Sus scrofa: one gene and its partner. The protein of the gene in region 1 binds, or shares a complex with, the protein of each later gene. Links are inferred from orthologs where the notes say so. Each region holds a gene or a part of one and is shown in the gene's direction. Other genes may lie near its edges. The genes, in order: ABI1 and WASF2.

Evidence for each region.
Region 2: ABI1 (region 1) and WASF2 share a complex: the UniProt entries of both Homo sapiens proteins name them as parts of the WAVE2 complex. The link is inferred for Sus scrofa from reciprocal best matches to the Homo sapiens genes ABI1 and WASF2.

Annotation. Positions count from the first base shown.
Region 1 is NC_010452.4:48,936,399-48,943,325, forward strand, and holds the start of ABI1 (abl interactor 1), read left to right. Parts: upstream 1-3,057; 5' UTR 3,058-3,210; coding exon 3,211-3,327; intron 3,328-6,927. UniProt on the Homo sapiens protein: May act in negative regulation of cell growth and transformation by interacting with nonreceptor tyrosine kinases ABL1 and/or ABL2. May play a role in regulation of EGF-induced Erk pathway activation. Involved in cytoskeletal reorganization and EGFR signaling.
Region 2 is NC_010448.4:84,629,996-84,636,324, reverse strand, and holds part of WASF2 (wiskott-Aldrich syndrome protein family member 2), read left to right. Parts: intron 1-565; coding exon 566-700; intron 701-1,223; coding exon 1,224-1,377; intron 1,378-3,783; coding exon 3,784-3,901; intron 3,902-4,919; coding exon 4,920-5,050; intron 5,051-6,329. UniProt on the Homo sapiens protein: Downstream effector molecule involved in the transmission of signals from tyrosine kinase receptors and small GTPases to the actin cytoskeleton. Promotes formation of actin filaments. Part of the WAVE complex that regulates lamellipodia formation.

The DNA of each region.
Region 1 (6,927 bases):
ATGTTCCTTTCCAATCCATCCCTCGTAACAGTTAATTATGATTCTGAATTTTGTCATCATTGATGACCTTGGCTGGTTTTTGAACTTTATAGACATGAAATCATATTTTATGTCTGAGGGTAATTATGAAATCACATTTACTCTTTTATGTCTTGTTAATTTCATTCCATAAACCATCTTTCATCCTGGAGTTCCTGTTGTGGTTCATCGGTTAACAAATCTGACTAGCATCTATGAGAATGCAAGTTTGATCCTCTGGGTTAAGGATCTGGTGTTGCCACGAGTCGTGGTGTAGGTCACAAATGCTGCTTGGAGCCTGCATTGCTGTGACTGTGGTGTAGGCCAGCAGCTACAGCTCAGCTCCCATTCGACCCCTAGCCTGGGAACCTCCATATACTGCAGGTGTGGCTGTAAAAAAAAAAAAAAAGAAACTTTCATCCCTGAAAGAGCACCCATCAGTGTATTCATCCATGTTGTTGCATTTATCAGCAGTTTGTTACTTTTACTGCTCTGTGGTTTTCCATTATATGAATATACCACCATTTATTCCTTTCATTATTGGTAGGCTTTTAGGTTGTTTCCATTTTTTGACTGTTAATGAATAAGGGTGCTATAAGCATTTTTGTTCATATCCTTTTGTGGACATATATACTTACTTTTCTAGAATCAATACCTAGGAGTGAATTGATAGACCTTAAGGAGGTGTATATTTTGCTCTAACAGGTCCTGTCAAAGAGTTTTCCAATGTGATTGGCCCTTTTACATGTGTATACTCATATTTACAGGTTGTGAGTGATTGTGTGTGTGTGCGCTGATGCAGTATGTTATGTCAATACTAGGTGCAGTTGTTGTTTTTTGTTGGGGGAAGAGAGAGTGTTTGGCTTCTTTCACCTAGCAACATGCATTTAAAATTCATCCATGATTTTGTGTATATATATTTTTCCTTATAATTTATATAGCAGTCTGTTGTTTGGTTGTACTAGTTTGTTTATCCAGTAACTGGCTGAAAGACATTTGAGTTGTTCCCAGGTTTTAGTGATTATGAATAACGCTACTATAAACATTTTCATGGTGGGCATTTTTTGGAGTGAGTTGTCTTCCTTTGTCCATTTTAATTTTTTTTCTCACTATATCTGCAGCATGTGGAAGCTGGATCGACAATGCCAATCCTTTACCTGCTGAGCCACAAGGAAACTCCCTTTTTTGTTCTTTTTTTTTTTTTTTTTTTTAATGGCTGCATCTGTGGCATTTGAAAGTTTCCTGGGATTGAATCCAAGCAGCAGCTGTGGTGTAGGTCACAGCTGCAGCTACCCTGGATCCTTTAACCTAGTGTGCTGGGCCAGGAATTAAGCCTGTGCCTTTGGTAACAAACCGAGCCAATGCAGTCGGATTCTTAACCCTCTGCACCACAGTGGAAACTCCTCTTTTGTCCACTTTCTTTTTTTTTTTTTTGGTCTTTGGTTTTTTTAGGGCTGCACCCAAGGCACATGGAACTTCCCAGGCTAGGGGTCGAATCAGAACTGTTTTCACTGTCCTACACCACAGCCACAGCAATGCCAGATCCAAGCCGTGTCTGTGACCTACACCACAGCTCACAGCAACACTAGATTCTTAACCTACTGAGCTAGGCCAGGGATCGAACCTGCAACCTCATGATTCCTAGTCGTATTCTTTTCCACTGCATCAACAACGGGAACTCCCTCTTGTCCATTTTCTAATTGAATTGTCTGTCTTTTTTTTTTTTTTTCTTTTTAGGGCCTCACCTGAGGCATATGGAAGTTCCTAAGCTAAGGGTCAAGTCAGAGGTGCAGCAGCTGGCCTATGCAACAGCCACAGCAACCTAGGATCTGAGTCCCTCTTTCAACCTACACCACAGCTCAAGGCAACACCAGATCCCTGACCCACTGAGCAAGGCCAGAGATCAAACTTGAATCCTCATGGATACTAGTCAGACTTGTTTCCACCACATCACAGCAGGGACTCCTGTCTGTCTTTTTTTTATTGACTTGGAGGAGTTTTTTTTTTTTTTTTTTAATATATTCCAGATACAGGTCCTCTGTCATAAGTATGTGTCATGGCTTTCTTTTTATTTCTTCTTTTCTTTTTAGGGCCACACTCTCAGCATATGGAAGTTCCTGGGCTAGGGGTTGAATTGAAGCTGCAGCTGCTGGCCTATGCCACTGACACAACAACACCAGATATGAATTGCATTTGTGACCTATGCTGCAATTTGCAACAATGCCAGATCCTTAACCCACTGAGCAAGGCCAGGGATAAAATCCTCATCCTCACAGACATTATTTCAGGTTTTAATCTGCTAGGCACAATGGGAAATCTCAATATTAATATATATATATATATATTTTTTGGTCTTTTTAGGGCTGCACCTGTGGCATATGGAAGTTCCCAGCCTAGGGGTCAAATCAGTGCTATTGCCTCGGGCCTACACCACAGCTTACTGCAATGCCAGATCCTTAACCCACTGAGCGAGTATCCTTTACTCAACTTGCACCCCCAGTCCATTGCTTGGTGTAGAGCTGGCAATAACAAGGGCAAGTTAAATTTTAAGTAAACTGAGGGCGGCAGAAGTTTAGAAAATAAAGCCTGAGTGGAGTTATCTCTAAAAAGACAGAGGAAGTAAAGATCTGGAATATCCTTATTCCAGTCCTTTTTAAACCTTATCAGATTGATATCTCTGATTCACAGGCATTTCCTAGTTAAGTTCTACCAAGTATTACAGCTTTCTCGGGGACCGGGTTTTATTCTCTAGTATCACTCTGCGGCGCCATCTGCCGGACCCGTCAAGAGACTAGAAACTTAAACCACCACCCTCATTCCAAGTTCTTTAAATATGCTCCTCCTCGTTCTTTTTCGGAGGCTCCCTGAACGCATGCGCTTCTGATGGGCAGCCACGTCTGCAAGAGACTACAATTCCCAGAAGGCCATGCCAAAGGAAAAAATTTCCATGGTTGCGGGAAGGGGGCGGGAAAGACAGGAAGGCTCGCGAGAAAAGAGGTTGAGGCGGCTGCGTGAAGTGGGTGGAGGCGGGTGGAGAGAGTGAGGAGGAAGAGGAGGAGGTTCCGTCCCACAATACCAGGCGGGAGGGCGGGCAGGCGGTTTGTATCCGGGCTGTGAGGTGCTCGGCGTCTCCGCAGACCTTGCTGCCTCTGTCTCTTTAACGCGAGAGGAAGCGATGCAGAGGGGTGGAAAATGGCAGAGCTGCAGATGTTACTAGAGGAGGAGATCCCGTCTGGCAAGAGGGCGCTGATAGAGAGTTACCAGAACCTGACCCGGGTGGCGGACTACTGTGAAAACAACTACATACAGGTGAGGAGCGCGGTCGCGCGGGCGGGCGCTGGCCGGCCGGGCCAAGGACCCGCCGGCGGCCGCCTGGGTGACCAGCCCACTGGGAGGGGTGGGGAATTGCCCTAACCTTAGCGGCAGCCCCAACCCCAACCCCAACCCCAGCGCCAACCTCAACCCCAGCCTCAGCCGGGGCGACAGCAAGTGGCCGGGTTTGGGGAGTCGGGCTGCGATACAGGAAGTGGCTGTGGTGGTTGAAACCCATAGAAGCGGAGAGAGAAAATGGGCGAGGGAGCCCGGAGCTCGCGGCCGTCGCAGCCCGGCGCCCCCCTGCCGCCCGCCTCCCCGCGGGCTCAGCCCCCGGAGTCGCGCTTCCCCCCGGCAGCCCTCCACCCGCCGGGCTTTCGCCCCGGAGTCCCCCTAGAGCCCTGCCGCCTCTCTGCCGGCCCAGGGGTCTCGGACCGGTCGAGCAAGGGGAGAGCAAAGGGCCGGGACGAGGCGCGGGGCGGAGCGGCAGGAGAGAGAGGAAAAGCGGGGTGTGTGTGTCGGGGGAGGGTGGGGTGGGGGCGATTATGTCAGTTTAGCCCAGAGGGTGTGTCTTTTATTTATTTATTTTTTAAAAAATTGGTCGTGAGTCACATCACAGAGACCTCCCCGAGGAGAGGAGGAAGCGAGTGGGGAGCGAGGGAGGGAGTAGAAGTTAATCTCCAAATTCCTTTAATTGAAGGTTTGTAAATCTGCCTGCCTGTCCATTTTCAAGTCGGGTTTTTTTCCCTCTCATCATTTTCACTTCCGCCCCACCGTAATATATTCTAGAGATTGTTAGGGCGATCGTTAGCTTGAAACAAATTATTCTTAACTACTTGGAAAAATGGCTTAAATACTCTCTCTTCCTCAAAAGTTCTTGAACTGCTAGCTTCCTAAGTAACTTAAAATAGAATGGTGTAATCGCCGGTTGCTGTTTTTTTTCCTGAGGTTTCTCTCTTTCCATCCTAAGTACTTGTGTAGAATGAATCTCAGTAGATTACTGAACATTTAGTCTTAGAACCATAACGACAAATACGTTATTGTTGAATGTTTTCGAAAATTCTTGGACCTTTATCTATGATAGGTGGTTGCTTGTTTGCTTTTATTTTAATGATTGAAAGTGAATTATGTTGTGGTGGTTTGCTTTGTAGATCTTTAATTGCGGTAAACTAACATTTTTCAATAGAAGCAAGTAAAAGTAGCAGAGTCCTTTTTAATCAGGATAATGGCACCAAAAATTCGCTTGTTAGTGGTAAGGCATGACCAAAACGTGTTTTGAAAGGTTAGAGTTACTGTAATTCCGAACTAAGGTATTTATAGAAATGCATCCCATGTGATTGTCATTTTTAAGAACCAATGGTTTCTGTGTTGGCAAATGCTTTCCTTTTTATTTTTAGAAGGAGATACTGTTTTCAGAATATTTTGAATATTTTTCAATTTCCATATTAGTAACACTGTATCTTCAGTAGCACTACAAGGAATTTATCTCATAAATTTTTTCAAGATTTTACTTTAGGAATTCCACTGATAAACTTGTTGAATGCCTGCTACATCTACTGTTTTCGCTGTTTTTGCAAACTGCTTTTAAAAAAAATTCTAAAATCTACTAGAAATGTGGATATACTTTTCAAACAGAAAAGTTATTTTGTAGTTGATTGATACCAAAAATATACAAGTTTCATTGTGAAAAGCCCTAAAATTGAGGTGATTCTCAGTTTGCTGAAGGTTTTAAAGATTTTGAAAGTCAGAGAGAAAGCACAGGAAGTTAAATTGCCTCCATTAAGGGAAAGTCATTTCTTTGTAGAAATCAGCAGATAGGTACTTCATTAAGGGATGGTTTCTTTTTGTTTTGCATGTTGGGAAATCTGACAAATACATGGTGTGGTAACTGCTATGTGTTGGCAAATGCAAACGTGTTTTAACCTGTCTGTTGAGTATTTCTTTTTCAGGTAGTTGTGTGCTAGAGGTACCCCCACCCCTTTTTTTCCCTCTTGCTACCATCATGTAACTTTGAAGTACTTTTAAACTTCATTATATCCCTAGTTAAATAAATCATGTTATTTCTCATAGTCTTTAAAGCATATTAGTACCATGGTGCCAAAATCCACTGTAAGTGGCCCCCAGTTTCTTTTTGGTGGTCCTAAACTTGATGCTAGTGAGATAGTCCCATGTAAGCTGTGGGGGTGGGAAGAGATGAAGTTCACACACAGCAATGTTGATGTTAGAGGCTGCTGCTGCTTTTTTTTTTTTTTTTTTGCTTCCCCCCACCTCCACTCCTTTGATATGTAGTAGTTGCCCCGCCAGGGATCAAACCCTAGCCACATCAGTGACCCAAACTGCTGCAGTGATAAGGCTGGATCCTTAACCCACTGCAGCACAAGAGAACTCCCAAAGCTAACTTTGGGTTGCTTGAAGCTGGCTACCAGTTGCCTTCCCAAGAGGCTCAGACAGGCTCAGAAGGTAATGAGGACTTTGTGAGAGTTGATGTGTTGGTAGCTGGCTTTATGATGTGCTACGCTACTGTTAAGAGGAAACTCATAATACTAGAAATATCCATTTACATGTCTTTTGAGATCTCTCTGTATCCCTTCTGTGACAGGGTAATAGCCAACACCCTGTGTAAACATACCTTCTCTTGGGAAGAGTATATGGTCACTTGTGTTTTGAGAATTTTTTTACACCCCAAGTTAAGTTTTTGCCAGCGTGGTTTTTATCCTGAGATAAAATCACTTTTCATTTTGTTATTTTCCTGTAGTTTTGAAGTACAGTTCAGTCAGGTATGGTATTTAGCTGGAAGGTTCTTTTGGCTGTAGTACAGTTTAGTCCTTGAGCACTTTATTAGCTCTTTTGGACCTGTTGACTTTAATTATTAAATTGTATTAATAGCAGAACTTCTCAAGAGAGCCCACTGTCTTAAAAAGGGTTTTTTTTTTTTTTTTTGTCTTTTTGCCTTTTCTTGGGCTGCTCCTGTGGTACATGGAGTTTCCCAGGCTAGGGGTCGAATCAGAGCTGTAGCCACCGGCCTACGCCAGAGCCACAGCAATGTGGGATCCAAGCCGCATCTGCAACCTACACCACAGCTCATGGCAACGCCCAATCCTTAACCCACTGAGCAAGGCCAGGGACTGAACCCACAACCCCATGGTTCCTAGTCGGATTTGTTAACCACTGTGCCACGACAGGAACTCCAAGGTTTTTGTTTTTTTAAAAAGGTTTTTGAAATTCTTTGGGAAAATAATTTTCAAAATAGAAAGTGTTGGAGTTCCTGTTATGGCTCAGCAGAAACAAATCTGACCAGTATCCATGGGGACGTGGGTTCGTCCCTGGCCTTGCTCAGTGGGTTGAGGATCTGGCATTGCCCTGAGATGTGGTGTAGTTTGCAGACGTGGCCCGGATCTGGCATTGCTGTGTCTGGTGTAGGCCGGCAGCTACAGCTCCCATTCGACCCCCAGCCTGGGAACCTCCATATGCCACTGGTGTGGCCCTAAAAAGGCAAAAAAACCCCAACCCCCCCAAAAAACCCCCCATATTTATGACATAAAGAAAAACCTTTGGCTTTTTCTGTCTTTAGTTTGAATTTTTTTGTGTGAATTATAT
Region 2 (6,329 bases), on another chromosome or scaffold:
CCTTTTAACCCCTGAGAAGAAATTATACGTCTCTATTATGAGTTGTTACTAAGTTAAAGACCTCCCCAAAATACAGTATCTCATCATGGTTGTTCAGCATACTTTTGGGGCTCCCTTGAGGATGTAATTTCTTATTTTTCATGTTAATTGTGAACATCTAGAAGGTCCTTTTAACTCCCAATCTGTTTTCCAGAACCATTTTTACAAGGTGCTTTTACAGAGCAGCAAAGGGCTAAGGCTATAGGCAAATGTGTAGGTGTACTATCCACGCTTCTAGGATTAGTTTTTTTGTTTTAAACTTTTGATTTTATTCCGCCTGCCTTGAGTTTTGTAACAGCCAGAGTTTGCCAGGAAGACTCTATTAGCTATAGAACACATGCAAACTGCCCAGGCTCTGGAGGGTATGTTTCTGTCTCCAAGGGCAAGCTCTGCATGTAGCCTGAACCATCTTAGGGGAGTGGGGGATGGTGTTTGGGAGGTGGGGAGTACATTCTTCAGTAACCAGTTTTTCTGACCATTTATGTCACTTTTATGCACCAGTGACTTGGTTTCTTTGCTCTCTCAGGTAAATATGCCGAGGACATTTTTGGAGAGCTCTTTACTCAGGCAAATACTTTTGCCTCTCGGGTAAGCTCCCTTGCTGAGAGGGTCGACCGCCTACAAGTTAAAGTCACTCAGCTGGATCCCAAGGAAGAAGAAGGTAAGGAAGCTGAGCTCAGCATTTGCAGGCTCTGCTGAGCAGTTGCTTACGATTTTTTTTTCCCCCTGATTTATAAAAAAGTGAGGGGAGAAATCATAGAAACCTATGGAGTTCTTCTTTGAAAAGATACAAGCCTAGGTGGTGTAAAGAAACCTTTGTGTCTCTACCATACCTCCACACACTCCCTTTCTCCCATTCCCCCAATTCCCTCTGTCTCAGATTCCCCTTCCCCCCCGTCGTATTTTGCTACCATAAAAGTACTTGGAAGATTCATTCCTCCTAAGGAGAGGTCTGCTAGAGCTGGCCACATAGTAAACCTTTGTGTTGCCTCATTTTGTTCAGTCGTGAAATGGCTGGGCTGCCGACAGCCTTGTGGGGCTTCCCCAGAAGAGGGGAAAAAAAACCAGGCTGCAGACAGCCGCAGCCAAGAAATGCAGCAGCTGAGGCCTCTCTGCCTGGTGTGACTCAGTGTTTGCTCAAATAGCCTGTCGTCCATTTTCTAATGCCTCCCATCTTCTTTCAGTGTCACTACAAGGAATCAACACCCGAAAGGCCTTCCGAAGCTCTACTGTTCAGGACCAGAAGCTTTTTGACAGAAATTCTCTCCCCATACCTGTCTTGGAAACATACAACACCTGTGATACTCCTCCACCTCTCAACAATCTTACCCCTTACAGGTAACCTGGCGAGCTCCTCCTTTTTTCGGACTGTGGTTAACAACACTAGCTTGTCTTTTTATTCAAAGATGTTGTTTCCAGCAGATTGTTGTATCGAAAAGCTTACTACCTACCCCAGAGTTGCTTGAGGCGGCAGAAGCTGAAATTTACCATATAAACAGTTATTGTTATTGTTTGGTTTCTGAAATTCATAGCAAATATAATATATATTGAAAGTTTGTTATAGCATCGCATGCTGCAGAGTTTAATTTGGTATAAGCCTGGTCCGTCTTGGATTCCATCCAAGGAATTTAGTTATTATAGAACCAAAAGGACTTTGTTACAAGGCAGTCCTATAGCATTCATCCCAGGGGCAACATTCTAGCAGGGCTCCCACTTACTCTGAAACCACTAGATTACCAGATGTTTGGGCGTGTTAGTGGGGCCAGCCTTGTGGACTGGCTGCTCTGGGCCCTGAGGGTCCTTCCAGAGCTTAAGGAGTAATTGGCATTCTTCCAAATGAGTGTCGCTCACTTTGTTTTGAACATCCTTTCAACATTCCCCTCAGAAAAGACCTACAGTGCTGTGGCTGGACTTGAAAAGGGTAGCCTTATAGACAGCTCGCTGCCCCTCCCCTCTGTGGTCTGGTCGTGTTATCATCCTGCGAAAAACCACCACGCAGGGGCAGAAAGCGAATATTTATCTTGCTCACATCCATAAATATCTTTGGAACAGGTAAAAGTAATTACAGATAGCTGGAGGCAGATGTCTTCTGTAAGACACGGGTGTACTGCAGAGTAGAACGTGTGTGTGTGTGTGTGTGTGAAATTCAAGGACACCTGCCTGATCCAGAGATCGGGCATAGGAGCATGGTTGCTTCTCACACAGATACAGAAAAAGTACATGGCATCTCTCCTATAAGATTGTTGCCGTGTGAAATTATGTTTGCCCCTTGGCTCTCGAAGGGGCAGCTGACATAGCAGGGCAGGGATTTGACTCTGTAGCCTCCATCGTTTGCTCTGGTTAGATCAGGGCAGAGGGGTTGGAGGACAGGAAGGGACTATACACCTGACAGTATTGAAGGGAGGGTGATAAGACAAGTTTATTTTCAGTTAATTTCAGGTATTTTCCTTATTAGCATCCTCCTCTTAATTTCCTTGATTTGCCCTAACAGACATGAGGAGTGGTGTGGCCAACTCCAAACAAGAGGTAATATAAAAGTCGCTAGTGCTTGGTTAGGAAATGTTTTCTGAGTGTTGTGATAGGATTGGAGGTCAGGGAAGAATGACCTTTACAATTCTTTTTAGTTCAGGGTAGTGTTAAAATAAATGTCCACCCCAAGCACATGTTCTCTGGAAAGTGAGAGAGACCTAGCCATCCCAAAGTGCGGAGTCATTGAGGGGTCATTGAGTCTGGCAGACAGCCCTTATAGTGACACTCAGTAGCTCACTCTGTGCTTCTGTCACAGCCACTAAGAGGTGGTAATTAAATCTTAGGGTCATAAAACAGCTGGCCATCTTTTCTCACTGGGGCCCCCTGGTGGTTGGGGTGGAGGTAGGGGTGAATGCTGAGCTATTCTGGAAGGGAGCAAGTAGGTGGAGTGCTTTGGTTACCAGTATTTGTAGAAGAATAGCAGCTGCACAGATATGCACATTCATATGTGTATATACACACATTATGTACACATGTGAACTTGCACATGCGTGCACGGGTTTGGGTGGGTGGGAACCACTAATGCTTCCTAGAGAGTTCTGGGCAGTTAATGGGAGGAGGGGAACCAGTGGCAGAAATCCCGTCTGATGTGCTAAGGGATCAAAATGTCCTCAGGGAGAGGTCTGTGGCCATGGAGATCATTAGAAATAATCAGGATCCCTGCTGCTTTAGCCCATTCTTGCCCTGACCATGCAAATTCCTCTACCAGGAATTGAAAGTAAGGCTAAAGTTCTTAAAAAACCAGATAAGTAAAGAGGTGCCATGCCATTCAGGGGCACTGGAATGCTGGCATGGGAGAAGAAATATGCAGTTGATTTGAACAACTTCCTGAGTCCTCAGTGTAAAAACTGCTAACCGGGAGTTTCCACTGTGGTTCAGCAGTAAAGAACCTGACGAGTATCCATGAGGACACAGGTTTGATCCCCAGCCTCACTCAGTGGGTTAAGGATCTGGAGTTGCTGTGAGCTGTGCTGTAGGTCGCAGAGATGGCTTGGATCTGGTGTTGCTGTGGCTGTGGCGTAGGCCGGCAGCTGCAGCTTCAGTTTGACTCCTAGCCTGGGAACCTCCATATGCCTCGGGTGCAGCCCTAAAAAGCCCCCCCTCACCCCTCCCCCCCCGAAAAAACCTTGCTAACTGGTAGGTGCTTGGAATATTTGATTTGGTTGGGAGCTCGTCTTGTCTACTGACAGCTACTTGTCTTCATTTCTATCCCAGGGACGATGGGAAAGAGGCACTCAAATTCTACACAGACCCTTCGTACTTCTTTGATCTTTGGAAGGAGAAGATGCTGCAGGACACCAAGGATATCATGAAAGAGAAGAGAAAGCACAGGGTGAGGGGAAGGGGGCCTCTGTTCTACACATCAGTAGGCACGATTGTGGAGGGGGGATAAAAAGGAAGCCAGTCTTATGTGAAGTGATCATTCCGAGTGGCTGGTTGCTTGGATGCCAGGTGAGACTCTTAAAAAAATGTGTCCACTCCAAGCACAACCAAGATGAAAGTATAAATCACACCAAAAATGTGTTTGTTCCCCTCAGCGCTATTAACAGGCGAGTATATTCAGGCTGAGTTTTAGAAATTGACTTTTCTATTCACCATTTATTTCTCTTGCAATTTGCACCTGACTCTGCTGGACACTCAAACTAGGCTAGTCCCTTCCCCGCCAGTTTTGCAGCTCGTTTCTCAGATCAGCACAAGGCTCTACAGTGTTTGATTTGTAACAGGAGCGGTTTAACACCTTGACTACTGGTTGGGCGGGGCAGAGGTGGGGGCCTAGGCCTACACTGGTAGATGCTCCCCCCAGACTCCCAGTGATGTGTGTAAGCATATGACCTACCAGGTACAACCTCACAATCCCATTAGTGTGGCTGCCAGGAGGCCCAAGAGAGTGCCAGGGGCTAGTGCAGCTGCACAGGCTGAAGAATTCTTCTTTGCTTGTTTTGGTTTGTTTTTAACTATTTCCTTATATCTGTCCCAGATATCTGTCGCCGTCATTATTTCTCTTCTCTCTTGACTGACCTTTGTGGCATAGCAAATAACAGTTTACTAACTTCCTAACAATTAGAGCTGCTCAAAACCATGAATGAGTTACCCAAAGAGGTAATGGGGTTTCATTGCTAGAAATGTTTGAGTGTGGGATTGAGGAACTGTGTTTGATCCCAGGAGGTGGTTTGGATTAGATGACCTCTAGGTCACTCTAAACCCAGCAGTTCTATGAATTCTGTAGTTACCGTATGCTCTCTAGGCATAGACAGCATATGCATGGGTGTATATCCGTGAAAGTGATGGAATTTTACTGAATAACTTTGGGAAGTGTTTTATTAAGGCTTTTCTGTTTCTTTTCATTATAGAAAGAAAAGAAAGATAATCCAAATCGAGGGAATGTAAACCCACGTAAAATCAAGACACGTAAGGAAGAGTGGGAGAAAATGAAGATGGGTCAAGAATTTGTGGAATCCAAAGAAAAGCTGGGGCCGTCTGGGTAGGTGATGCTTTTGTTCTCTTGGTAGCATTCTTGGAAGGGGCTGGGTACCCGAGGGCAGCCGTCTGACAGCTTATGTGTGACACCTTTCATACACCCTTAAGTCTGGCTCTGTGGCTTAAATCAATACCACTGTTAATCAGCTACTTTAAAGTGCCTCTGTCTGGTGATTAAAATTTGCTAAAAAAAAAAAATCAAGAGACTCAAGCAGTTTAAATGAGATGACCAGAATGGCCTGGAAAAAGAATGCCCATGGCTTTTAGTGCCCTTGCTCTTCCAGACATGGCTATGTCTGAGGGCCTCAAAGGAAAGACTAGAAAGGGAAGAAAAGTGGTCTTGGAAGGCCTTTGCCTCCAGAGTGTTGATTTGAAGGTCATGGCTAAGAGCTGGGCATTTCACTGGTGTGGGGAGGGCCAGGCAGAGAATTTGTGCACATCGCCAAAGCCACTTCTCAGTCAGCCTTTGTCAGTCTTGGGAGAGAGGCTGGCCAAGGGGCTGAAGCCGACCTCAGAGGCAGTGTGGGAACAGTCGCACGGCTAGCATTGAGGCTGTATATCTCTGTGGAGAAATAGTAGATGTCAGTCTGACCCCGTTTCCCAATTCCAAATCACACTAGAGGTTTAAAAGGAAAAAAAAAAAAAAATGGTTTGAAAGCTTGGTTTGATTCTTATCCTGGTGTCTGACCTGTGTGACATTCAAAGCCAAGTCACCACGACTGCTTGGCATGAATGTCGCGCTGGTTTTTCCCCTAAATACCTTGCATCCTGGCTGTCAGAGAACCATGCCAGCCCATGCCGGGTGTCTAGGGACGATAAAAGGAAAGAGTGGAGTTGTCCTTGCTTTTAGGAATAACTCTACCATGAAAATCTTGACTTTCAGAAATCTTGACACTTCTGACACTTGTTCTTCCTGGATTAAGAGATTTGTTTTAAAGAGTGATGAAGATGGTGAGAGGAAAAGTGAACCTTTCTTTCTACAGGGGGATCAGCCCCGAGGGTACCTCCATTAGCTTCACCTCCCAATAAAAAGGGGCCATTTTGTTCTGTGGCCCCATCCTGTTCAGACAGGCCCTTGTCATAAGAAGGTTCTCTAAGGCCAGAAGCGTGCATGTCCAGGATGCCGAGCAAACTTGTCTGTCTGTCTGTCTGTCTCTGTGTAATTGGAGTGGTGAAAATGAACACTTTGCCTCCCATTTTACTGTTGTCCAAGAGGTTTGGGCAGGCTGCACAGCTGGTCCACATGGACATCCTTGTTGGTGAACCTATAAAGAGATGTGCCA